Linked DNA regions of Drosophila melanogaster. Changing the gene in region 1 together with any one later gene gives a genetic interaction. Each region holds a gene or a part of one and is shown on either strand. Other genes may lie near its edges. The genes, in order: Tis11 and Pop2.

Region 1 (12,383 bases):
AGAGAGAGAGAGGGATGGAGAGCAAGATCAACATGTTGAAAATGTGTTGAACACGTGGTTGTGGGACTCTCAAAAACAAAAATCCGATCGAAATCGTGATTAAAATATATCGGGGGTTGCTTAGAACAGAGGAAAAACAAAAAACAAAAACTCACATGTGTTTTTTGTTATCTTTGTGGTCCTGCAAAACCAGTTGCAGAGTGTGAGTGTGATTGTGTGTGTGCCAAACAGAGACAGCACCATCGGCAAAACCCGCAAAACAAAAGCCAAAATGTAAAGCCACAAGGGAAAAAAACAAACGCAAAGGCAAAAGCAAAAACAACGAATTCAAAAAAGCGACAGTAAATGTGAATGGAAATCTACTAAACAAACGGGGCTCTCTGCCGACGCTGACATAGACTGCGCTGCCAGCGTCCTCATTTGATCGCGACTTTATTATATAATAGATTCGATTGGATTGGATTTTTCGGTGGATTTCGTTGTGTGGATTGGCAATCAGAAAAAAAGCTGAAACACCAAAATATATACATATATATGTATGGGGAAAAAAACCAGGTTTGCAAGCGCAACACTTTTTGTAGGGTGGCCCGCATGAAAAGCGTGAAAAGCAAATGCCAGCCAGCATAATGGAAATATGTATGTACATATTAACGAAGTTATTAAGCGAAGCAAACTGTAAAGCCGAGAGATACAGGCGGGAATATCGTATTCTGCGAATAATAATATGCCGTGGATAATAAAATATTCCACACATTCCCAGAATCCGGGAAAATGTTCAAACTTCAGATCGATTCTGAGTGCAAAACACCCGCCTTTCAGGGCACTGAGAGCAAAATCGGATTGAATGATAAGGACATATATTTATTTATAAAGTTAATTAAGAAAAGGACTAACTTAATAATAGATAAGACATGATTATTGTCCGAGTTCAAATCCCACTTCTGTGAAATAGCTCTTTATGTTATTTCAAATCCAATTTCTTCCTGTGCATGCAAACAACAAACAAGCAGATGATTGTGTGGGAGAGGGGGTGGAAGGGGCCGCAGAGCGAGGGAGGGGCGAGATGTACTTTGGCACTCAATTGAGCGGCCATTAGCAATAATACCAACAACAATGAGAACAACAGTACAGCCAAGACAATTTCGAGATTACAACAACAGCCACAACAACAAAATGACAATAGAATATGAAGTGTCTTCGCCTCTATGCTCCATCCCGTTCTGGCCCACGGTAAATGGGCCCCACTGCGCACGCCTGCCTGGCTCGCTCGCTCGGTCTCCCTCTCCTTCTCCCCATCAAGCCAGGCCAGGCCAGATAGAGAGAAAGAGCGAGAGCGCCGAGGAGTGGGGGCATACTGCCAAATGCGTTGGTGTGGGCGAGATAGCAAAGCGACGACAAAGGCAAGAGAGCGCAAATACATATATATGAATGTATGTACGTACGTAGATATGTATATATGTGTTGCGTATTTATTTGATGTGCATGTTTTTCTTATATGTATTTTTTACAACTGCACGATAAGAGGACAGCCAGGCAACAGCAAAAACACTATTATTAATAAAAATAATAATAATAATAATAATAAGCAGTCAGTAGCTTCGCACGCAAATAACTTATTCATAATTTATTTTCATCGAAGCGGCAGCAACAAAGAATTACGAACAGCTCAATTTAAGCGAATATTACATTGTGGCGTATGTATTTTAAAATCTATTCTATATTTACACTTGTTTCACATTTAACCAACAATTTCTTTAAAAGTCCGAATAAAAACAAGTAGAACGGATTTGCTTTGTATTGTTTTCTATATGTACGTTTAGTTGTAGATGGAAAATCAGTAGCGGTGATCCTCAATTTCAACCCCCATCGACTAATAAACTCTTGACGAACTGAGAATCCCCCCCCTCTTCAACCATTTACCTCTCGCTTCCACTCCAAGGGTATCTCAAGGGTCAGCCAGTCAATATGCTGACAATGTGTTATTGTTGTTGTTGTTGCTGTTGTACTTATTACTTTAGTTGTTGTTGCTGCCCCGGCCTCATGTCCTCATGTGCGTTTTCATGAGTTTAAGTGCCCTGTTGGGTAGTGAGTTTAGTTGATATGCTCACTTTAGCCTTTTTATAGCCAGGTTCAATAGGAAACTGCCAGAATTCTAGGCAACAGCAGGTGCATGTTCTAGAAAACATATCACAGGAACAAACCTATACACTTAATGCCTTCATATAGTCAAGTTCTATTGAAAACGATTTCAGTTCTTACAGTTAGCAGGTGTACTTTTAGCTTCTTTCGGAAGACGTTAAGACATCTTTTCAAAAACATTGCGAGCTTAAAATGTCAAAAGAACCACATATGTACATATGTATGTATATGTGCACAGTCCGTTTTTAATGCATAGCAGAATATGTATCTAACTTATAGATGTTTCAAGCAAATTTCAATATAAGTTATGTCTGGCAACACTGTCGCTGCGCTTGCAATGTGCGCCAGTGTGGGTGAGTGAGTAAAAGAGACAGAGCGAGCGGATCGGGGACTTGAGCCTGCGATTTCGAATCGGTTCGTTTGGAATGGGTATATGGGCTCATGCGGTATTGGACCTGGACTTTAGGGATGGGGCTATTAATCGAGTCGAGTCGGTTCGGTTCGGATCGGATCGAAATGAAATGACGTTCGGCGGAGTTGAGGGTTAACGAAGAAGGAGCAGAGGTGGGGGGCAGATATAATGGAGAAGGGTGAGGATTGAAAATTGAAGAGTTGCCTTTTTTGTTTAGGTAGGTAGCGGTGGTGGTCGCTACACTCGCTCTTTGCTCCTCCTCCTTCTCCTCCTTGAACTCCTACTACTTCGCCTTCTCCCCCGCCGATCTGATTGCTCTTCTTCTTCGTCTTCTTCGCGCAGCAATGGCGTCGGGACAAACACACATCGCACAAGAAGAAGAAGCAGCCCAGACGAAGAAGAAGAGGGAGGAGGAGAGAAAAACACACAGATCAAAATAAAACGACGACGTTGTTGTTATCGCCTTGGCAGGAAATGGAATTATATTCGTAAAAAGTAGTCGCCGTTTGTCGCTCTGCAAGTGTAAGTGAGCCTCTTCTCAGCAGGAGAGGGTAGCGCTGAGAGCGGGCCGGGGGAAACGGCTGGATGGAGGAGTGCAGAGGAGTTGGGCAAAGAGCAGAGGAGGGGGAGTTTGCTGAAACGCAATACCGCTGATTACGTACGGGAATTTCGATATAACAAACTAAGCACATTTTACACATTTTACTTTTCAGCCTGAAAACGGAGAAGCCGACATACAAAAAAAAAAACACAAACCAAGCAAACCGACGAGACACACTACAGTGGTCACACGCTACACAGCTACTACTTGACTAAACCTTCATTTAAATATGGATAATAAAATAAAATACGAATAATAATAATTGATTTAGGAAACAAGGGCATTGTAGTAAAATAGATTTAAGATTTATATAAGAAGTCAAATAATACTCTTGCTAAAATAAGAGCAGAGTTTTAATATACATCTTTTATCGAGGTTTCACTGCAAACTGCATTTAACTGCATATCACATGGTAATACAATGTACATGCATATAAATTTCATAATAAAATCAAGACGAAACCAAGAAAACGAGAAATTAAAAGTTATGCGAAAAAGTGAATTTCAAAGTTGGCGCTGCTCCCTTCTCTTCTCTTTCGGCACTTCATTCTCCATTCTCCCCTTCCACCCTTTCTCTTCTCCACCGCCTACCTCTTCTCAGTGCACATTCCCGAACGAAGTGGCGCAGTAAATGTAACAAAAGCCAAAACCAAAATGTTTTTATAAATTCAAAAGCAAAGATTGTGACATTATTGTTTTTCGTTCATATTTTAACTTATAGCCGAAACAAAGACGAGTTAAAAAATGAAATTGATTTAAAAAATATAATTTCCTTATGCAAATATCTTTCATAATCTTATAAAAGAGTTGCAAAGAAGGAGTTGCAACAATTTTGTCGCCTAATAAAAAAGTTGCGCGGCAGCATTTCCTATTTGCCTGTGTTTGCTTGAAAGTGTTTGTGGTGCCCTTTCGCTTTCTGCAGCAATTTGTTGTTGCCTTTGTGGCTAAAAACTGCTGCATAATGACAACAAAAATATATCAAACAATTTTCAGTGCGAATCGTTGCTGATTGCCTATCGATAATCGATTGCAAAGTTCATTCAACAAGCATTTGCAACTTTATCGGACGTCAACCTGGCTTGGCCCTATTTTTATTATGTTTGTTGTTTTTCTCCTTGCTCAATGTTATTTTTTCCTTTCTATGACTCTACTTGACCCTTTGGCTTTGCATTTTAGTTTACGCAAATTTGCGAAAAAAAAGCGCAGGCACAAGAACAAGAAAATCAAAACAAAAGTGAGCCCAACACTGCTCCATCTGTCTCTTACTTTGCTCCCCTCTCGTTTTTACACGAAAAACCGCAAAACTTTTCACGTAATCGCTGCAGCAGAGCTTTTGAACATAAAAAAAATATTAAAAACTTAACTCATCCGAGAGCAATCAATAAACCCAAAAAAAACAAATGAACGAAATAATATGTATAAATAAAACAACAGAAATCATTAAAAACACAAAAATCCATCCAAAGCAAACCCGGAACTTGAGTTAATCGAATTTGTTGTCGATCAACAGCTGCGCTGCCAACGTCGCTGCCAGCAACACGCACACATGCACCACACACATACATACGTATGTATATACAAACAGTAAATGATCACGAGTGGTGTTATTGCTGTTGTTGCTGCTGCTTTTAATGATGCTGCTGCGATGACGCCAATTGTAACAAATAAATACGAAGAGAAGGGACAAAAAGAGAAGGTGCACAGCGTAAGGGAGCGGATCGAGAGGGAGAAAGAGCGGGTGGGAGAGAGTGATATGCAAGGATGCCCCGCCCCCTTCTCCAATACACTTATCACAAATCCTTATCAGAGAATTATTTAGTCCACTTTATAGTCTGTCGCTTATTTTCATTTTTCACCACCATCACACACACACACTCTCTATTTGTTGCTGTTTTTTGTGAGTTGACAAACCGAAAGTATAATTATGAATCAGCTTTATAATGGGGAATAACAAACAACAAATACAAGTGTAACAAAACGGAAATATAACGAAGTGAAAAATGGAAAACAAGTTATCGAAATTAAGCAAACGATGCACATATTGCCTTTAACAATGCGACACAAATGCGGCGCAAAATGCAACTGCCGAAATGAATAAACCAAAAAAAAACATGTGGTTTAGGCATGTTTTAAGTTGACTGGAAAATATTTTAAGTTTTCTTTTCACTCAATCTATATGGAGCTTCTCTAATTTTGCTTACCAAGTGCTTGACTTTTTTTTTTAGTGAATTAGCAATTTGAGTTTTACTAAATTTCTTGGAAGCCCAAATACCAAGACAAAAATGCATATGCGCACATCTGCATGCAATATAAAAACAACATAAGAGACCTATTGAATTAGTTTTGTAAATTAGTCATGGCATATTTATTCAATTTCATTCATAACTCTGGGTAAAACCACATCTTGAAAAATAACACTTTAAACAATACCGAATTTTGAGAAAAAAAAAACACAAGAACAAGAATATAATGACCGAACAGTTAAAAACGGAGGAAAACGTAGTTTTTGAGAATTTTGGGAAACTTACCGTTACGTATTTGGATATATCGCCACGCTCGAAGTAGTGCGAATCATCCTGCTCTCTTGATTTCTGCAGAATATCAGCAGACATTTTGTTGATTGGTTTTGAACAGATTGTTAACTTGATTTAGCCGTTGTTGTTTATTTGTTGTATTTTCCACTGGACAAGACAGAAAAAATGTGCGAATTTTTTCGTTTTGTTTTTCTTTTCTATATATCTTTATTTCGTTGCTTTTTCTTTTGTGTTTGATTTGTATTTGCTTTGCACTTGAATATTGAGTTATGTATGTTGTTGTTATTCGTTCCGCGAATATTGCATTGCAACAATAAAAAAAAATCAGCTAAAAGAGTGAAGAGAGCGTTTGATTAGCGACGAATAATGGAAGTGAGAGAGCGATGCACGAGGGCAGAAGAGAGAAGGGCAAAGAGCAAGGGAACAAAAATTTCACGTGCTTGTCGTTCGTATGCGTATGCGTATGGGAGTGTGTTCGTAAGGATATTTTCCAGGCACATGTGCAAAGGAAAGAAGAACCAAAGGCTGATATTCTTCGCTTTGCTTTGTCCCTTTTTTGATATACACATGTGTGTGTTTGTTAAACAGCCGATGTCTGTTTTATTTACGTGTGTGCGTTGTTTGCTTTGCTTTTATCGTCTTCGTTCGCGTTCTCGAAAAGCGAAAAGATAAGCTTGCGCTTCGTCCCTTCCTTTCCGTCCTTCCTTTCCTCCTTCTCTCACTCTATCTCCCTATGTGTGCCTAAGTGTTGCGTGTGTGTGTGCGATCTCTAGTGGTGGTCGTATATCACTTGCGTCTGTGTGTTTGTAATTCTTATATTATTGCTGCGACAGCGAACTCAAAATCATCAAAAAAAAAAACATAACACAAAAATCAAATAAAAGGGCAGCAATTTCTGTCGTTTATGATTTTTCCCTGTTGCTTCGCATGCTCCTTGTGCGCGCGGTTCTTCTTGTTCCCAAAGTCCTTGGGATTGCACACATGCGCGCATGTAAATTAATCGAATGCTTGCTTATGCTTATTTGAACATGATTCAAGAAATTCTCGTTGCGCCTTTTATATTCATTTACTCTTACTTTACACCTTTTAAAAACAACGACAACAGTGGACCATTTCTTACTTTACTATACAGTTAACTGTTGTATATTGATGAACAACCAATTCGAATTTTTCCGGCACTTGCAAAAAAAAATAAACCACGAAAAGGATGAAAGGGAATGTAAGTTGACCACTCGATTTGGATCGCACAAACACCACAAGATACACGAGAAACAAGCACACAATTTTAATTTGGCTATCGAATCGCTTATTACTTTGAATACGGGCGCAGAGGTCCTGTCGCTCTTCGCTCGTTCGCAAAAAAACACAACAAAATAGACGCAGCACGTCCGTCAGACAACCAGCCAGATCGGAATCGAACCTTACACTCGCACAAAAATGTCGAATCGCCGTTTTTTCGATTCGGTTGCCCGGCAGTGTGACCAGCCGCGAGTCAGCCGAAAAATGCCCACGTCATATATGCTTTTTGGTGAACGGCATTTGGCCTCCCGTTAGGCGCTCTTTTGTCAGAGCGTTTGAGTCTAAGATATGTAAATGGTTATTCTGTAGTCGGTTAGTTTTTACCTAGCTAAAAGAAAAAATGCTTCAAACTTGAAATGAAAGTTTTTTCATATAATACCTTTAAATCAAGTAGCATAGTCGATAGTAAATCAAGTAACATTAATCGAGCCAACTCGCTTGCTAGTGGTGCCACCTGTGCAAACTCGACTGGTAGAGGTGCCACCTGTACCTACTCGCTTGCCAGTGGTGCCACTGGATTGCCTTTAAATTTTCGAAGTTATTGGCAGCGCTGTCCCAATTTCTACTATTTTTAAAACATTATTGAAGCGCATAATTGCACTAGTTAGGCAACTTTAAGTTGTTAAAGATATATTTCCAGTCACTTCAGCTCCACGGGTGGCAAAGTCAAACTATGTGGCAGCCATCTAAATCGCAGTATCAAAACAAGCGCCATAGTTTAAATTTCATTTGTATTTTTCCCCATGTTAGCTTTTTAGGAATGTAATGATAAAATAATGACAATGTTCTCAGGAGTTATCCTGCAATAAGTTATTTATAAATGTAAAATTATAAATAGCAAATGTTTTAAGATCTCTTGTCAAACTAAAGAGACGAATTGATAAATGTTGCGCTTCGTTTTTGCTCTTTTACTATTCAATCAGAACTTTAAATGTTCTTATCAGCAATTGCACTGCAATTGGTGTTTTCCAATCAGCGCCTTCTGCTTGCAAACGGGGTGCTGATTGGAATGGGTCAGTAGTGCAGTGGACATCCCATAAAGTTAATAAATAATAAAAAGCACATTCTCACACACAGACGGACCGCGTACGTGTCATTGGTCAACAATGACGAATAAACAAAGAAATTAAGAGGGTCTAATAAATAAATGTATTTCACAGTCGGGTTGCAAAAGACGTCAGCTGCTAAATTCGTTTTGGATCTTAAGAAAGACCACCTGAAAGTGAAAAAACATTACGAATCGATTTTTGGAGGCATTATGGAAAATACTTTAAAGAAAGATGATTAACGCTGCGCCCCCCTGTACCATCCATTACAGTATCGCAGATAACCATTCCATTAAATATAAACGTAATTTAAAATATTGACAACTTTCTCTACAAAGATTCTACGTTTTTTTTCTCATCTCTTCAGAATATTTTGCTAACTACCAGCTATGCAATCTACTAGATGATATCAATAGTAGCAGTACAAATTTAAATAAACAAACCATAAACCATAAACCATAAACCATAAACCAATGTGACAATGAAATGTTTTTATGTCACGTTCAAGTTTTCATAACTAAAATGCATTATTAATGACTGAACGCAAGATCTGAAAAACACAGGCATTTTTTTGTGATTAATTTAAATATATAAAAGCATCTTTAATTTCAACTAAATTTTAATTTCAGCTGAAACGAATACAACTTTAGATACAAAGCACTTATGGGGGAAATTAAATGTTGGGGCTCAAATAAAACGTATGCATATATATATATATATGAATATACAATTTTTATGTAAATTTAATATAGTATAATAAAAAAACTAATTACATGCTACAATTTTAAAAAAGATTATTAACCAATAGAGCTAATCGCTAATAAACAATGACGTATATTACAACAATAAATATATTTGAATGCACTTCTTTCCCTTTCGTATGCCCCCATCTCTATCTAATGCAGATGTGAACAGCGCCGAGTCGAAATTTAATTTCAACATATTTATTGATGTAATTCAAAAAATTAAATATAAGTTATATTTATAATTATTACGGCGTACTATGCAAAATTACTTTGCAGTTTTGCGGTCTGTTTTCTTCTTTTTCTTTCTTCATTATAATTATTATTTGCTTGTTTTACTCTTGTTGCTGCTTTTATTTTATATTTTCCCCCATCTCAGTTGGCTTTGCTTGGTTGTTTCTCCTCCGCATCCTCCACTATATTTTTTTTGTTTGCTTTTCTCGGTGTGTTTTATTAATTTTTTTTTATTGTTTATTCTTATTTGTTTGTTGTTTTTTTGTGTTGTTGTTTGCTTGTTGCTGTTTTGTTTCTTATTTATTCCATTTTAATTAGTTATTGAGTTTTGTTTCGCTCGATTCATAATTAAGCATTGGATTCGATTTGACGTGAATCAAATGGGTATATGCATACATATATGGTGTTGTGTTTATTCGCTTACATATATACATATACATATATATATAGGTTTAGTTTCCTCAGCATTACTTCATTTTGTTCCTCCAACTCTACCAATATTATTTCTTGTAATTTATTAGGCTAAGTGTTGTTGATTTCTTTCCTCTTCTTTTCTTCTTCTCTCTTCTTTTCTTTTTTCTCCCCCTTTTGGGCAATGATGTTTGCTTTTTGAGTGGGTGGATGAGAGTGGGTGAGTGTGTGTATGTATGTGTGTGTGTGGGTGTGTTATGCAAGTATGTTGATTTGTGTATGGATTGCAAATTAGTTTAAATCGTATTGATTTGCAATAATTTCGGTTTATGTTATTATCGATCGCAGTGATTCACTCGTGAATCACATTTGCTGGGGTATCATTTTATATGCCCTGCTGATGATGCCGTTGCTTGCTTGTTTGTGGTTCCTTATTTGTTTAGTATTGAATTTAAATTAATATTAAGAAACATTCGGACGACCGCTGGTGTTACTCAATTTTACGGTTGCGTCTGTTTCATATTTGCTCCGCTCCTTGCCGGGCCTTTCGCCCACATCAACGTCATTTACATCCACGCATCCACGTTCTCCTTCTCTGATGCACTCCCCCCATTCGTCTGAATGCGCTGCAGCTCTTAGTCCGCGATCAGGGGCTTGCCGTTCTGCTTCTCCTTGTCCTTGTCCAATTGCTCCAAGAGTATAGCTGGATTGGGTTGACCCTGATGGGTCTTCTGCTTCAGCATTGTCCAGTCGTAGATGTAGTCATACTGATGGTTCAGCGTTCTGAACAGTATGCTGTATTAAAGAGAAAGTTGGGGTTACATCATTTCGAATTAAAAAAAAAAAACAAGAAAACTATGACCTAAACACATATCGAATACAGCCTCCACAATGATTATCACCACAAACATTATCACAAAAACAATCGGGTGTAATCTTAAGATTCGTATGCAATATATGATTTAATCGTACTCACCGGAACAATTGACGTAGGTACATGTAATCTGGCTGCTCCTCGAAGCGCAGGCTACGACAATAGTTCAGATACATGGAGAACTCGGCCGGCGAGCCCTTGCAGAGGACCTCGATGGGCGTGGACATCTTCTTTTCGGAGATCTTCTCGTATTTCTGCTGCTTGGTGTTGGCCTTCATGCCTTGCCATGGCAGTACGCCGCGATTGAAGTACATCATCACGTATCCAAGCGATTCCATGTCGTCACGCCGCGACTGCTCGATGCCCAGATGGGCATTGATCGAGGCATAGCGGGCAGTGCCGGTGAGGTTCTTGTCCTCGCGGTAAACGATGTGATGGCGCGTGTGCGGATCGCGGAACTTCTTGGCCAGACCGAAATCGATCAGGAACAGCTTATTGCAGTGCCGACCAATGCCCATTAGGAAGTTATCCGGCTTGATGTCGCGATGGATGAAGCACTTGAGATGGATGTACTCCAAGCGTCCGATCATCTGGTCGACGAGCATCAGAACCGTTTTGATTGTGAAATGGCGCGTACAGAAATTGAACAGATCCTCCAGCGAGGGTCCCAGCAGGTCCATGACCAGGGTGTTGAAGTTCTTTTCCTTGCCATGGTGACGTATACGAGGGAATCCAACGCCGCCGCTCAGAATGCGGTACAGCTTGGCCTCGTACAACAGCTGCGGATGGCGGGCGTGGGCGCTCTCCATCTTGATGGCCACTTCTTCGCCGCTCTGGATGCTCATGCCCAGGTAAATGTCGCCAAACGATCCGCTTCCTGTGAATAATTTTCAGAGATTAGAGAATATTGTGGGGATAAAATCGCACGGCTGAATTACCAATCTTCCTGATCACCCGATATTTGCCACCGACGATTATCTCGGGGCGACTTTCCTTCAATATCCGCATCTTGTCCATCCTGGCTAGCTGCTCCTCCGCCTAAGCGCTTCGCTTCAAAAACAGTTGGACGCGTTCACTTGAAAAACTGCATGGGTTGGGAACATTATATGTTTTGTATATATTAAGTTAAGAACTAAACGCTAGGAGTTACTAATTATCATTCTGACACTTGAACACCCTTCATCTAAACAACTATATTACTCTAATACTACAAAGGGACCTATTACAAAACGAACAGTTTTGCGGATCCCAGAAAATGTAATCGTGTACTGTTTTATATTTTAACCTTAAGAAAAATGAGTGGTATCTTCTCTAGAGTTGTTTCACAGTGTTTTTGGGAAAGTTTTGAATAGTTGCCCCAACACAAAATGTCGCGACGATTTACAGACCAGCTGACATTTAACTAATATCACCAGAGCCTCTTTTTGCTGTCATCCCTTTCTCAACACTTTCTTTTCCACCTCTCTTTCTGCTCTCCGGAATTTGTTTTGCTTTTCTTTTCCAGCTTGCACTTTACGTGTTTTTCTGATGTTTCTCAACGGACCAATCGATATGTCTGCATTATCGATTACACTTGATCCCTACTTGAGGTGATGGAGGTGAAGGAGGAGCAATATTTCCTTTTGCACGGGGGCGGGCTGAAGGGAAATTCTAAATAAACACAGACAGACATCGATATACGATATTTATTGGCGACAGGTACTGCTTCCTCTTCTTTCTTACCCCGTTGGAATGCATATTACACACACACACACACTCATTGCTATGACGCACAACAACAAAAACAACAACGGCAGTCAAAGCGATACACACACACGCACACAGCTGCAGTTGCACCTTACAAATGTTTTACACAAAAGAAAATTTCGAAGGCACACATATACACACACACACGAACGCAGAGTGTGAGAAGCAGACCAACACATTGAAGCGCACAGCGAGACACGCACACCATCGAAGACCCATCACACACACACACACGTTAGCATATTTAGCACGCATTTGAAACTGGACGAAATGGGTGAAAAAATGATGGATCCTCGCGGAAATCAAACGGTCTAAGTTCACATTTGGGTTCATTTCTTACCAGCA
Region 2 (12,383 bases), on another chromosome or scaffold:
ACCACGAGGATCACAATGGACGCACAGCCCTGGATCTGGCAGCCTATCAGGGAGCCGCTAGCCTGGTGATCTATATCCTGGAGCAGGGCGGCAATCTGGAACACATTGATGTTCATGGAATGCGTCCCCTGGATCGGGCCATTGCCTGCCGTAACATCCAGGCCGTACAGGTGTTCCTGCGCAAGGGGGCCAAACTGGGACCGACCACTTGGAGCATGGCCATGGGCAAGCCGGAGATTCTGGTCATACTACTGAACAAGCTGCTCGAGGACGGTAATGTGCTGTACCGGAAAAACCGCTTCCAGGAGGCTGCTCATCGCTATCAGTATGCCCTACGCAAGATCTCCGGACTGGAGCAGTTGCTCGAAAGGAATGCCATCTTCGCCCAGCTGCGGACCAATCTTCTGCTGAATCTGTCGCGCTGCAAGCGAAAACTGAATGTAAGTACCCAAAAATATGAGTTGACATCTGGATATTTGACTAACCATATCTGTAATTCGCAGGAACTTGACGCCTCCATAGATTTGGCCACGCAAGCGATTGCCCAGAAGCCGCACAGCTACGAAGGATACTACGCCAGGGCAAAGGCGCGCATGGAACTTGGTGCATTGAATGAAGCACTTGTGGACGCCAATGAGGCGATGCAGCAGGCCGCCCAAAGCGGTGTGCTCTGCGAAGTGGTCGAGGTGCTGAAGCGCATCCAGACCGAGCTGCTCACGCGGATCAGCATCAGCAGCGAGGATCAGACCGGCAGGATGTCGAATATCGGCGGCGGGGCATCCGTCGCATACGAATCTCATCATGAGATCACCGATTTGTAAATGTCGATTGTTGTGTATTGTTGTACTCGTCGTATACCCTTCGAATTAATCGCTATTCCTACTTAAGAGCTACCCTAGACCTTAATTTTTGCTATTTATTGCCTTCGAATGTTTTTAATTTAAACCAACTGAAACTATCATTGTAATTTGTTTTTAAATTTTCTTTTTAATTGTGTCTGCGCATGTAAAAATTAGTTTTATACTCTGATTTAGCATAGGCATCAGTTCTTATCCATAACGAATATTAAATAAATGCGAATTCTTTTAAGATTTAATAAACACATTATTATTTTGATATTCGATGCAGACTTTTGGGGGTAGGCTCGGGCACTCTGGGCTAAGATTATAAAACATTCTTTAACTTATTAGTGCATAGTTTTGAGCTGTTTTTAAATAAAACATTGTTGAACAACGGCAAGGGAGTTGAAATAACTGGGAAACATTTTAACGTTTGCAGAATATATTACAAATTTTCACATTTAAGAGTATTTAAATTTATGAACAAAATTTAAAACAATTATGTGAACTTATATATATGTGTGTGTATGTACAATTAAAGCTTAAACATTTCGGGGGAGAATAAAACATAGGAATGAAATAGTTTGAAATGAAATGTGGGCGTATTTAAGATTAATAAATAGGAAGTTTAGAGAGCTTTAAATGCTAATTTGTATACTAGCATGAGAGTGAACTTTCCATAAATAAGTTGTGTGTTCCAACGTATACTTAAGTACATATAAAATTAACAATGGTAGTTCTCTTTTATCTACGAAGATTTTCCATTAAGTTTACTCAGTTCAGTTGGTTCGCCACTATCGCCATGTACCAAGCGGGACTCGACGAGCGGTGCTGAAATCTGCAAATGCAGAACGTAGTCGGCAGCTGGAAGAACAAAGTTTCAGTTACGCCAAGAGCTTAAAGTGGGAAGACTACATGGAAATAAATAAATAGAAATGTGCTAGATGTGGCATGTTGTTTTGGGAGTAATCAAACATGGGAACAAGCTGTGGATGAAAGCGGAGGAAACGAAAAGCGTGAGATTTTTAGTAGCGCTAATGATACGTGTAAATGAATATTCTACTAAAAACTCCTCTCACTTTGCTCCAAAAGGAATTCCAGATCATCGGGGCAGTCTATCGTGGGGAAATCAATATTAGTCGACTCCTTGAGGATCACACCAATAGTCTTGTCCGCACTCATCAGAAACAAAGGTGCATTCGCCTTGGCGAGCTCCTTTTGCAATGAGCCCATTCCGCGAGCTGCCGTAAAATCGAATTCTGGAAGACAGCACATTTAAAAACCTATAGCAAAAAGTAAATCGTAAATCATACCATGCACGTGGGCGCAATCCAAGACCACAGGTGCGGTTCCATGAATGGTCAGAGCTTTTGAGATGCCCGAACGAACCCATTCGACTGCCGGGAAGTACAGTGAACTGTGCTTAGGGCGAATCAGAATATAATTGATGCCATTGGTGGTTTGCAGTTTGGAGACACTCAGTACGGGTCGAGCGGCTCGGTAAACCAGAAACGCCACATCGGTACTCACGCCCAGCAGAAGACCGATCTCGACGCCCACAGCCAGACTCATTACGAATGTAATGGCACCTGGAAGCAGCTCCCGCCGGCTGCACCGCCACAGCGGCTTAATGACCTCGAACTCAATCATGAATATCACCGCCGAGATGATAACCGCACTGAGAGCAGCCTTCGGGATGTACTGGAAATAAGGTGCCAGGAGGCCGAGTGCCAACAGAACCAGCACGCTTGTGTAGCAGCCTCCAAGCGGCGTCCTTACTCCACTGGCGTGGTTAACAGCGCTGCGCGAGAAGGATCCTGTCACCGGCATGGAGCTGCAGAACGCGCCACAAATGTTGCTCATGGAAAGTGCAACCAGTTCCCGCGTCGGACTCAGTCCAGCTCCTCCAAAGGCTTTCGAAATGGCTACATTTCCAAGCACAGCTATAATGGGTAGGATTAGCATGGAAGGGCCCAGTTCCGAGAGCTGAAAAAAAGATTAAAAACATTATAGTTAAGTTCTTCGGTTATCAGGAAGTTGGTCGATCGTGGAATTCTCCTTTCTATTTTTATCTACATTAAAAAGGTGCAATTAACTTTATAAAATTGGAACAAAATCCAGAGAGGGCGGAATACAAATAAACTCATTTTAATTTATTCTAAAGCCGAGCGACAATTTAAAACAAGAAAAAGGTATCTTAAACAAAGCAACGAAAAGGCAGACTGGCTTGATGATAAATTAATTCGGTGACAAAAAAAAGCTAATTAGTCTACTTGTGCCCACATACCATCTGTTCAAAGTTCTGTCTGATCTCAGTGCCATTCCTGTCCAGTATGGTGGTCTCAAACTTTGGCAGTGAAACGTTGGGCAGACCGCTTTTGACCTTTCCAGTAAGGATGAACGGGCAGCTCTCCATCTGCTCACATGTGCTGTAGGCCAGCACACTGGTCACCAGTACGACCAGCGCATTCCGACCGGTGCCTATTACCCAGATGCTACCACTTACAAGCTGCTGTGTTCGCAAGTTCCGGATTCGACCATCCAGCTTAACGTCTTTTAGTTTCTAAGGGAATTGAATGGGTTTATAAAGTAGTTTCTTAGGATATTTTAGACTCTCTTACCCGCAGAAGTAGCAAAACTATAATGGAAGTCAAACCAAGGGTAAAATCACCAGTTCTAACTTTGTGTAGATTTCCGAACACGGAGCGCATGGTATTGATGAAATCAGACCCGGATCCACCACGCAGTCCCAGCAAACCCTTTAGCTGCGAGGTGCCAATGATGACGGCGGTGGCCGAGGTGAATCCCACGGTAACTGGCAGTGATATCAGGTCCACCAGGGCACCCAGTTTCAGCACTGCCATACCCAGCTCCACAACACCAGAGATGAGGCACAAAAGTATCGCGTACGCTGGACCCGATCCCAGTCCAAATCCCGTGTGCCGGCTTGTCATCAGTGCGAGCAAAGCCGTGGGTCCAATGGTCACCTGCCGGCAGCTGCCCAGCATGGCGTATATAATACCGCCCACAAAGGCGGAGTACAGACCATATTGGGGCTCCAGTCCCGCCAGCGTAGCGTAGGCCAGTCCTTGGGGCAACACCGTCAGGCCGACCGTCACTCCGGCTATCAGATCCGCAACTGCATCTTGGCCAGTATAACCGTGCAGCCACTTTAGACCCGGCAGCAGGCGGTATCCCCACTTCCTCAGGCTCATGGCTTCTATTTCTGTGGGATAAATACAAAAAAAAAAAAAGAATGAGTAATGTATTGGAGCCATAAGAACATACTTCCCAGCTCATTACCAAAAAAAGGGAATTGAAAATATTCAACAAGATTAAAATAGAATTACGTCGTATATATTGAAGATCGCAGGTTCAACGACTTTTCCAATTTCGCATAATTATACATTTGATTATGAGACGTCTGCGTGACAGACGAAAAGATAGAAAGACATCAACTTATTTATCACCAATAAGCAAGTCATAAATAAACGTCGTAGAACTCAAAACAATAGAAGAAATACGAGTTTATGGTAAATAAAAAAGAATAGCTGCCAGAATTACAAATGGCTCAGTGAGTAAACTAGATGGTATAAATTAAACAAAGCTAACCGAAAACAGGTTTGCGTTATTTTACATTTTTTTGAACTGAAAGTGAATAGAAATGCCAAAAGAAATTAGCAAGAATCCAAAGGCAATCAAAGCTATTATAAGCATTACAAATAAGTTGTCTCAATCTTCGCATAGTATTGCATTCATCTAAACCTATTTATGGAATGATTGTTACCACATTTAAAAATAATTAAAATTACACGTTTCGCTCTTCTCAGAGCTATTCCACTTCACTAACAATATTGCATTCCATCCAAATTAAAACAATCTAATCCAAAAAGTCTATCTAACCGCAATTCGTTGAATTTGGTTGAAAACTCACGTATTTAAACAAATGTTTTGATGTTGTTGTCGTTTTGAAGGGCGCGTTCCATTCGAAATGCGAGTTCTTTTCGGTTCGAATTCTTCTAGAATTCTAGAAAGAACGGAGAGCTCTGGGGAAGATCAATTCGGTTCGGTTGCTGGCCAGAGACTGAAAAACGATCGCGTGAACGAAGAATTCCTGATCAGTGATCACACGACCACCTCAATTAGCTGAACAACTGGCGAAGTTGAAAGTATTGGTTCGGGTCGCCTAAAACGTGATCAAATTGCTCGACCGAAGGCACGAGATACAATGTGCACTTTAATTGAATTTCGCTTTGTTTACAAACTATTCTTTTCAATTTAGAGCCAATAATTATGGCGAAATTGTTTGTTTGTTATGTCATTTGCAAACGCCACAATGGCAAATATTGCCAATCGCTTGTGGAAAGAATGGCGAGTTTAGAATTGCTATTAGTTCCACAAAGCAATGATAATGCGATTTATACAATCGACAGTCAACAATTTAACAGCGTTTAGTGAACTATTAGGTAGCATTGTGAAATAAGTAATGAATATAATGTATCTTAAAATAATCAGACCGATTAGAGCGACTAGAATGATTTTCTAAAAACGCCTATAAAGGGGAGGTTTAAATGGAACGTTCTTGTTGGATCGGTTTGTAAATATTTAAATATAAAATAGAAACTAAATAAATTTGACATTTTTGCAACACAATCTAGAAAGTTTCCTTCCTTGTAGGTAAACTATTGAATTCCAGAGGTCAGATAAGAAGAAAAGCCCTTATCAGTACGGAAACGTGTAGTTCAAGTGGTTTTATCAGCATTTTGTAACCGGATTGAGCATAAAAATGCGAAACGTGCGAAAAGTTTATTAACCCTTTGAAGAAACTGGAGAAATCCGTTCTTTGAGGGTCCACGAAACCAAAATAATTGGAGAGATCAGTCGTTATGTACCGATGTACGTACATGTATGTATGTATGTATAAACATAATTGCCGATTGTTGACAGACGGCGAGCTTTATTTATCTTATTTGCTTTCTTTTTTTAATTTGGCATGTGTGAAAAAACTAGTTTTGCACTGTATTGGTATAAACGTAAACAAACTGAGAAAACAGTTGATTCAATTGTTTGTTTATTTATAACGCGAGCCAATTCCTCAAGAATTTGCAACAACAAATGGGTCAAGTTAAAAGGAAAGTGGGACAGACGTAAAAAGAAAAACCACAAATCCAGTAACATTTCTTACTTGATTATTATGATCTATATTTTTGTATCAACTTTTAACACTTAACATTAAAGTTAAAAAATCACAAAGCTACCACTTCTACCGGTGAAATTGAAATAAATATATTTGTTTGACTGTCAGCGAACAGCTGAAAGTCTAGTGTTGCCATCGCTCACCAACTTTCATAGTTTCCCTGGCGCCCTCTAGGCGGCTGCTATAGCGAGTCAAAGGCAGGGCTTGGCAGCACTTAAGTGGCTGAGTGCCTAATATTTAAATACAACAAAACCCATTTTTTTTTGTTAATTTAGATTTCTAATTACTATGCTTATGAACAGAAACTAAAAATTCAAAAGATGGGCACCACTAAAGTCGCCAAACTATCGATATTTGTAGCAATTACACGTTTTCCAGCACTTGAATCGAAGAGCGAACGTTTACCCTCACTGCCGCAATCGCGAACAATTTTTTATTATGGCACTTGCGCGGCTCACAAACGATATTCGCTGATAAACATTCATTGGAAATTATTGCCGAACGCAGAGGACTCCGCCAATTGAAGTGTGCGCTTAAAACGATCGCCGTGCAGGAAGCGGAAGTGCCCCATAACAGCTATTTTCTCGCCGCTTTCTCCCCCATCACCCCCCCGCAAAACAAGCGACGCCGATAGAAACATTTAATTTGTGCAAATAGCCGAAACCTACACGGTCGGCCATCAAATATTATGAAATGGGTAAGCTGCGAGGGTAACCACGAGTGGGTCCATTTCCACAGCCTTGCGTTTCCACGGCGCAAATCGAAAACGAACTGCAATTGCAAATGCATCTTCAATGCCGCTGCAAGTGTGTGTGTGTGTGTGTGTGCGGTGTGATGTGAGCGTGTGTGCGAGTGTGTGCAGTTTTCTTAGGGCGTTTTAACTGTTATTTATTTTCGGTTTCTTCATTTTCCGCAAATAGTCACTTTTTCGTGTTTGTCTGATTTCCCCCCCCCCCCCCCCCAGCCTGCACTATGAATCCGATTTCGAAATGGATTGAAATTCACACCCTCAAATCTTCAGTGTCACTTGCAAATGCTCAAAAACGTATGGAAATTTCTGACTTGCTATGATGTGACTTAAAATCATATTTTTATGTTAAACGCCCTTATATTCATAATTGGTAAAGCATACCAAATCTTAATTAATACAACATATAAAGGGTAGAGCAGCGATTGAGAACTTTTCTGCATATTTCAAAACCTTAAATATAACCTGTGTACAATGAGGGAAATGTTTCTCACACTGTAGTTAGAAATTAAGTCATGTTAATGCTGTCTAATTGCAGCATCAGCTTTAAATAACTTGCCCAGTGTTATCTGAAGGTGTGTTAATGCATGCGATACATCATAGGTGCAATAGGTATAATCCTGTAAAGGCAGATTGAATTATTATTCCGATACCCCTGCATTCGATCAGGAGCATTGATCCCCCGAATCAGAGCTTAAGACCACACATCCAGGTGGAACTTGTTGCTTGAGGCTTGGTTGTAGGTCAGTGCGAAGAGGTGGCTGATCCGGCGGCGAAGGGTGCGCACCAGGCGACGTCCGGCGACGATGTAAGTAGCGGCCATCGTAAACCCAATCACTCCAGTAACCACCTCCAAGCAAATTTCCAAAAAATCGTTACCTTCACTTGCCTTGTTTCGATATGATTTTATTTTATGTTGTTTCCTCGTATCAGCAGCAAAATTCGTGCACTTCTAACATCGATATTGGCCAATCTTCAATTGTGAACCTCCTGTTTAGTTGCGCTATCGTGCTTAACCAATTGGACCAGCTATTTTATTATGTTGCTAACTCTTACCTCCACATAAATACACAAAAACACAAGACACTGGGATTAGTCCTTATCTATGGAAATATTCGATATCGGTAACCTTACACTGATGTTTAAACAAATTCGAAAACTGAGCACCATAAACAACAATTAGTAAACCATCATTATAAACAAAGGTTTCATAATGTTTGTAAAACGTTCTTCAGTTTGTTTGTGCCTTATAAATCTGCATTGTGGAGCATTTACTATGCTTCATAAAATGATAGGACTTGATCAACTAATCATAGCATTGATGGCGAAAACTAATATTTCACATCTTAAATTAGGACTAAACAAACACAAACATATACACACTTATACACTGAAATATGTATACATTACAAGTAGTTTGACCCACAACCAATACTTTTCCCAGACAATGCCCTCGGCCATCAGTGGCGCGCCACATGCCCACATACCCAGCAACGAGGAGTGCGGCATCCGCGATGTGTGGAAGCAAAACCTGGAGGAGGAGTTCCGCACCATACGGAAAGTGGTGCAGAAGTACCACTATGTGGCCATGGACACCGAGTTTCCAGGCGTGGTAGCACGTCCAGTCGGCGAGTTCCGCTCCACGGCGGACTATCATTACCAGCTGCTGCGCTGTAATGTCGATCTGCTGCGGATTATCCAATTGGGCCTTACCTTCATGGACGACGATGGAAAGACACCACCCGGCTACTCCACCTGGCAGTTCAACTTCAAGTTTAACCTGAGGTAAAAGTGTTTTGTTTATGCTCTAATGGGGGGTCCTATATTATCGTTTGTTTCCCTAGCGAGGACATGTATGCGCAGGACTCGATCGATCTGCTGCAGAACTCCGGAATTCAGTTCAAGAAGCACGAGGAGGATGGCATCGATCCCATCGACTTCGCCGAACTGCTGATGAGCTCTGGCATCGTGCTGGTGGAAAACATCAAGTGGCTGTGCTTCCACTCCGGCTACGATTTTGGCTACCTTCTAAAGCTGCTCACCGATCAGAACCTGCCCCCGGACGAATCTGAATTTTTCGATCTGCTGCACATCTACTTTCCCAACATCTTCGACATCAAGTATCTGATGAAGTCGTGCAAGAACCTGAAAGGCGGCCTGCAGGAGGTTGCCGATCAGCTGGAACTGCGGCGCGTGGGCCCCCAGCATCAGGCCGGCTCGGATGCTCTGCTGACGGGCATGGCCTTCTTCAAAATGCGTGAGGTACAGCACACAAATGATTTCCACATTACACCGGTGGCGCACGATGTACTCTTTCGCTATCTGCTTGAGCACACCATGAACTTAAAGCCGACGATCAGCTGCATCCATCTGCTGAGCCGTCCGGCATACAATGGGGGCCCTGCCCCCGACGAATCTGCGATAATCAGCAGTGGCAACGGCACAGGCAACACCAACTCCACCGAGCAGTTCACCTCGAGCGCCTACATGGTTACACCTCCTAATACGCCCGGCATGGCCAAGAGCGATGCCGCATCGCTGTCCAATCGCCATACGTCTATTTCGAATAGCTTCGGATGATTAGACAGCTCGCTCGCTGGTGTTGCCGTGCACTTGCCACTGCTAACGTAACGTGCCTCCGCCCATCATAATCATTATTCCTTAGGTTTAAGGTTTTTCATGGTTGTCATAACGCATTTTCATACATAACTCATCTATGTACTTAGTTTTTTGTGACCTGCACAATTTACAGAGCCAGTGACCCAGAATTTATGAATGAAATCCATAATTTGAAGTGTTCTTAGTAGTTAGTTTGGAGCTGTTAAACCCATGTGAAACATGTTTATTTAGCTGTAATGCCCGCGATACGAATTGAAATGAGAAACGCGCTGGATTCGAATGGAAAATTAAATGAATTGGAATTAATTTTCTTTAAATGTTTATTTGCATTCTTTGGTGTTTGGGCATGGCATATGCATATCATAGCTTGCTTGATTTCATATGACATCTTTTTAATTGTATTGATGTTCATTTTAATTTATGTTAAGTTCACGCTCTTCATTTATATCGAATTAACAAATTATTCTTTTGTAATTTTAAGCGCTTTGCTGACATATGTTTCCACACGGTTTACTGTGTGTATCAGCGTACCAAGACCTTTATCTTCTAGAGAACTGCCGAATAGTTTTGAAATAACAAGAACATTGCAGAATAAATCCCATCCCATACTAACATTCATTAAATATGAAATTTACTAATATTGAAACCTCGTCCAATCACATCGGTTCTGCGGTATGTAACAAATCCTATCTACAAGTAGGACCCACCCATCTACTTGGGATTACTTTCTAAGACTTTGCTGCCGTAGAAATATGTGTGCTTTATACGCTTTGTAGCTCCCAACTAAAGTTGCTCGCATTGATACATCCCATAATTACCATACTTACCCAGAAACTGCTTTCTAACCCATTTGTGCTGTCCCATTCGAAAAACGATCCAATGTTCTGTACCTGCCTAATGAAACTTACAATCTTTGCAGATGTTCTTCGAGGACAACATCGACCATGCGAAGTACTCCGGACACCTGTACGGCCTGGGTACCTCCTTCATCGTCAATGGCACCAACTTCCACGACAGCAACGGTGAGACGAACAGCGCTTCATGATTCGTACTGATGGGGAACGTGGTCGTGCACGACAGGAAGTTCGAGCAGGAGGAATCACCGGGTCCGTCGGCATCTGTGCAGGCCACACCACCTGGCCAACTGATCCTAGCCGTAACAACACCATTGCAGTAATCTGTGGACAGTCGACACAGATCGTTCCCATTTGTGAACAATTATACCCCGTTGGCCATAAAGCTAACTTCTTGATGTTTCCCACGCAAGTTCAGATGAATAGGCAACCGTTCAATACGAAAACATGGCATAAACTAATTGTAAATCGCATAGAAATGAAAAACCGGCAAAACTAAAATAGATTCAATTTCAAGTTCTGCATGTCTTAAATGTGTTACGAATACAAAACTAAGGTATGTAAAATTAAGCTAAAACTGTAAGCCAATGAGCGAAACAGAGAATATTGTGTATTTGTAAAAAGAGCAAAAAAACAATATATTTAAAACTTTTTAATTTAGTGTACATTTCGAAAACGTGTTTTTATTTGAAGTATGAATACGAATCGAGATGTTTGGTTTAGTAGAAAAAAGATGGCGAAAACCTGTAGAAAAAAATATCAAATATCAAATATCAAATCAAGAGAAACCAAGAATCCCAATATCTACAGATGAAAACAAAATTTTCAAGGGTTAAAAATCAATAGTGGGTTAATGAACATATAAAAGGTATTTTTAAAATATAACGGAAATACGCCGAAGTAGCAATAGTCGGATTTTTGTGAAACTGTGGTGCGGTCACACCGAGCCTAGTCCTTATGTTTTGTTTATGGAAAATATCTTTTAGTTTTTGAGTATTAAAAGCCAAATCGATGGCAACTGTGGCTGAATGCAATCACAGCGTCCTCGACCTGGTAACCAAAATGGCCACAATGCTGGTGGCCGATGAGATGAAGCCAAAAAAACAAACAGCTGTGCTGGTGGCCAAAAAGCGCTCCAAAATCTATGAATCGCTGCTTCACAGTGAAACGATGTCGTCCCAGGACAAGCTGGAGATGCTCCACCAGGTGACCAGCGAGGTGGCAAAGAACCCAGACCGGATGGACATGCTGCTCAGGTTCCAAAATCTGCTAGAAGGACAGGATAAGGAAGAATCGGAGATTACACAGGACCAGGATGAGGAAAACCAGTCCGAAGTGGTGATCAAACGTATCAAGGCAGGTCCACTGCAGCTGATTGAAACCATAGAGATTGTGGAGGAGGCACTTCATCCAAAGGCCTTTCCCGACATCAATCAAATGAATCGCGCCCTGAAACCCCTGCAACTACAGCCATACTCCGATATTCTTACAACGAGTAACCTGAATATAAATTTTCCGCCAGAAAAGCTAATTCCGAAGATCATACCATCTACTGTAATTCGCATGGGATTATCAGAGTCCATTACACGCATGAGGAACGAAATGGAAAAACCAATGCATCCACCACCCCGATTGCCAGTGCTCGCGAAAAAAGTCGTAGCTCCATTAGAGGATGAACGACCTTTTGTGGCCCAGCCTGGACCGGAGAAGCACTTCGTTTCGGATAAATTGTTGACCAACGAACTTAAGATCCTCCGGAACAAGAACCTGGTTCTCAACTACCTAGATGAAGCAACCCTAATCGATCACCTAAAGAAAGCAGCGTGTGGTATTGAATCTTTAACGTTTCCCATCTCGTCGGCAGATAAGTTGGAGTTGCGAGTGAGGCCCAACACAACTTTGCCAACTATGCTGCCGGAGGTGCTGGCGGATTTTGCAAATCACTTCATTCGTGCCGGCTGCGCCTTCCTGCGTTTGAGTTCCCGCACCAAATGGAACAATATCGCCGAAATGCGGCTGGAAAGGCCTCTAAATCGAGTGAGATTGAATACCTTATTTCCAGTAGTGATATATTCAACAATCCCATGCTTTCTTATAGGCCATGCGAGAGACGATTATGGACTATC

What was found.
Region 2: of Tis11 (region 1) and Pop2, changing one suppresses a phenotype caused by changing the other (phenotypic suppression), as found in Drosophila melanogaster (one study listed by BioGRID).

The regions. Positions count from the first base shown.
Region 1 is NC_004354.4:12,654,164-12,666,546, reverse strand, and holds the start of Tis11 (Tis11 zinc finger protein), read right to left. Parts: upstream 7,133-12,383; 5' UTR 6,999-7,132; exon of another isoform or gene 6,014-6,998; 5' UTR 5,764-6,013; coding exon 5,680-5,763; intron 1,331-5,679; exon of another isoform or gene 1,279-1,330; intron 1-1,278. Other genes in the region: CkIalpha (casein kinase ialpha), read right to left, coding at 10,054-10,213, 10,395-11,169, 11,231-11,309.
Region 2 is NT_037436.4:11,996,936-12,009,318, reverse strand, and holds Pop2 (Pop2), read left to right. Parts: upstream 1-6,403; 5' UTR 6,404-6,724; coding exon 6,725-6,733; intron 6,734-7,387; exon of another isoform or gene 7,388-7,592; intron 7,593-8,117; exon of another isoform or gene 8,118-8,228; coding exon 8,229-8,569; intron 8,570-8,628; coding exon 8,629-9,364; 3' UTR 9,365-9,707; downstream 9,708-12,383. Other genes in the region: rols (rolling pebbles), read left to right, coding at 1-440, 504-821; CG6928 (uncharacterized protein), read right to left, coding at 1,588-1,703, 1,919-2,098, 2,153-2,825, 3,127-3,402, 3,461-4,054; Grip163, read left to right, coding at 11,269-12,294, 12,356-12,383.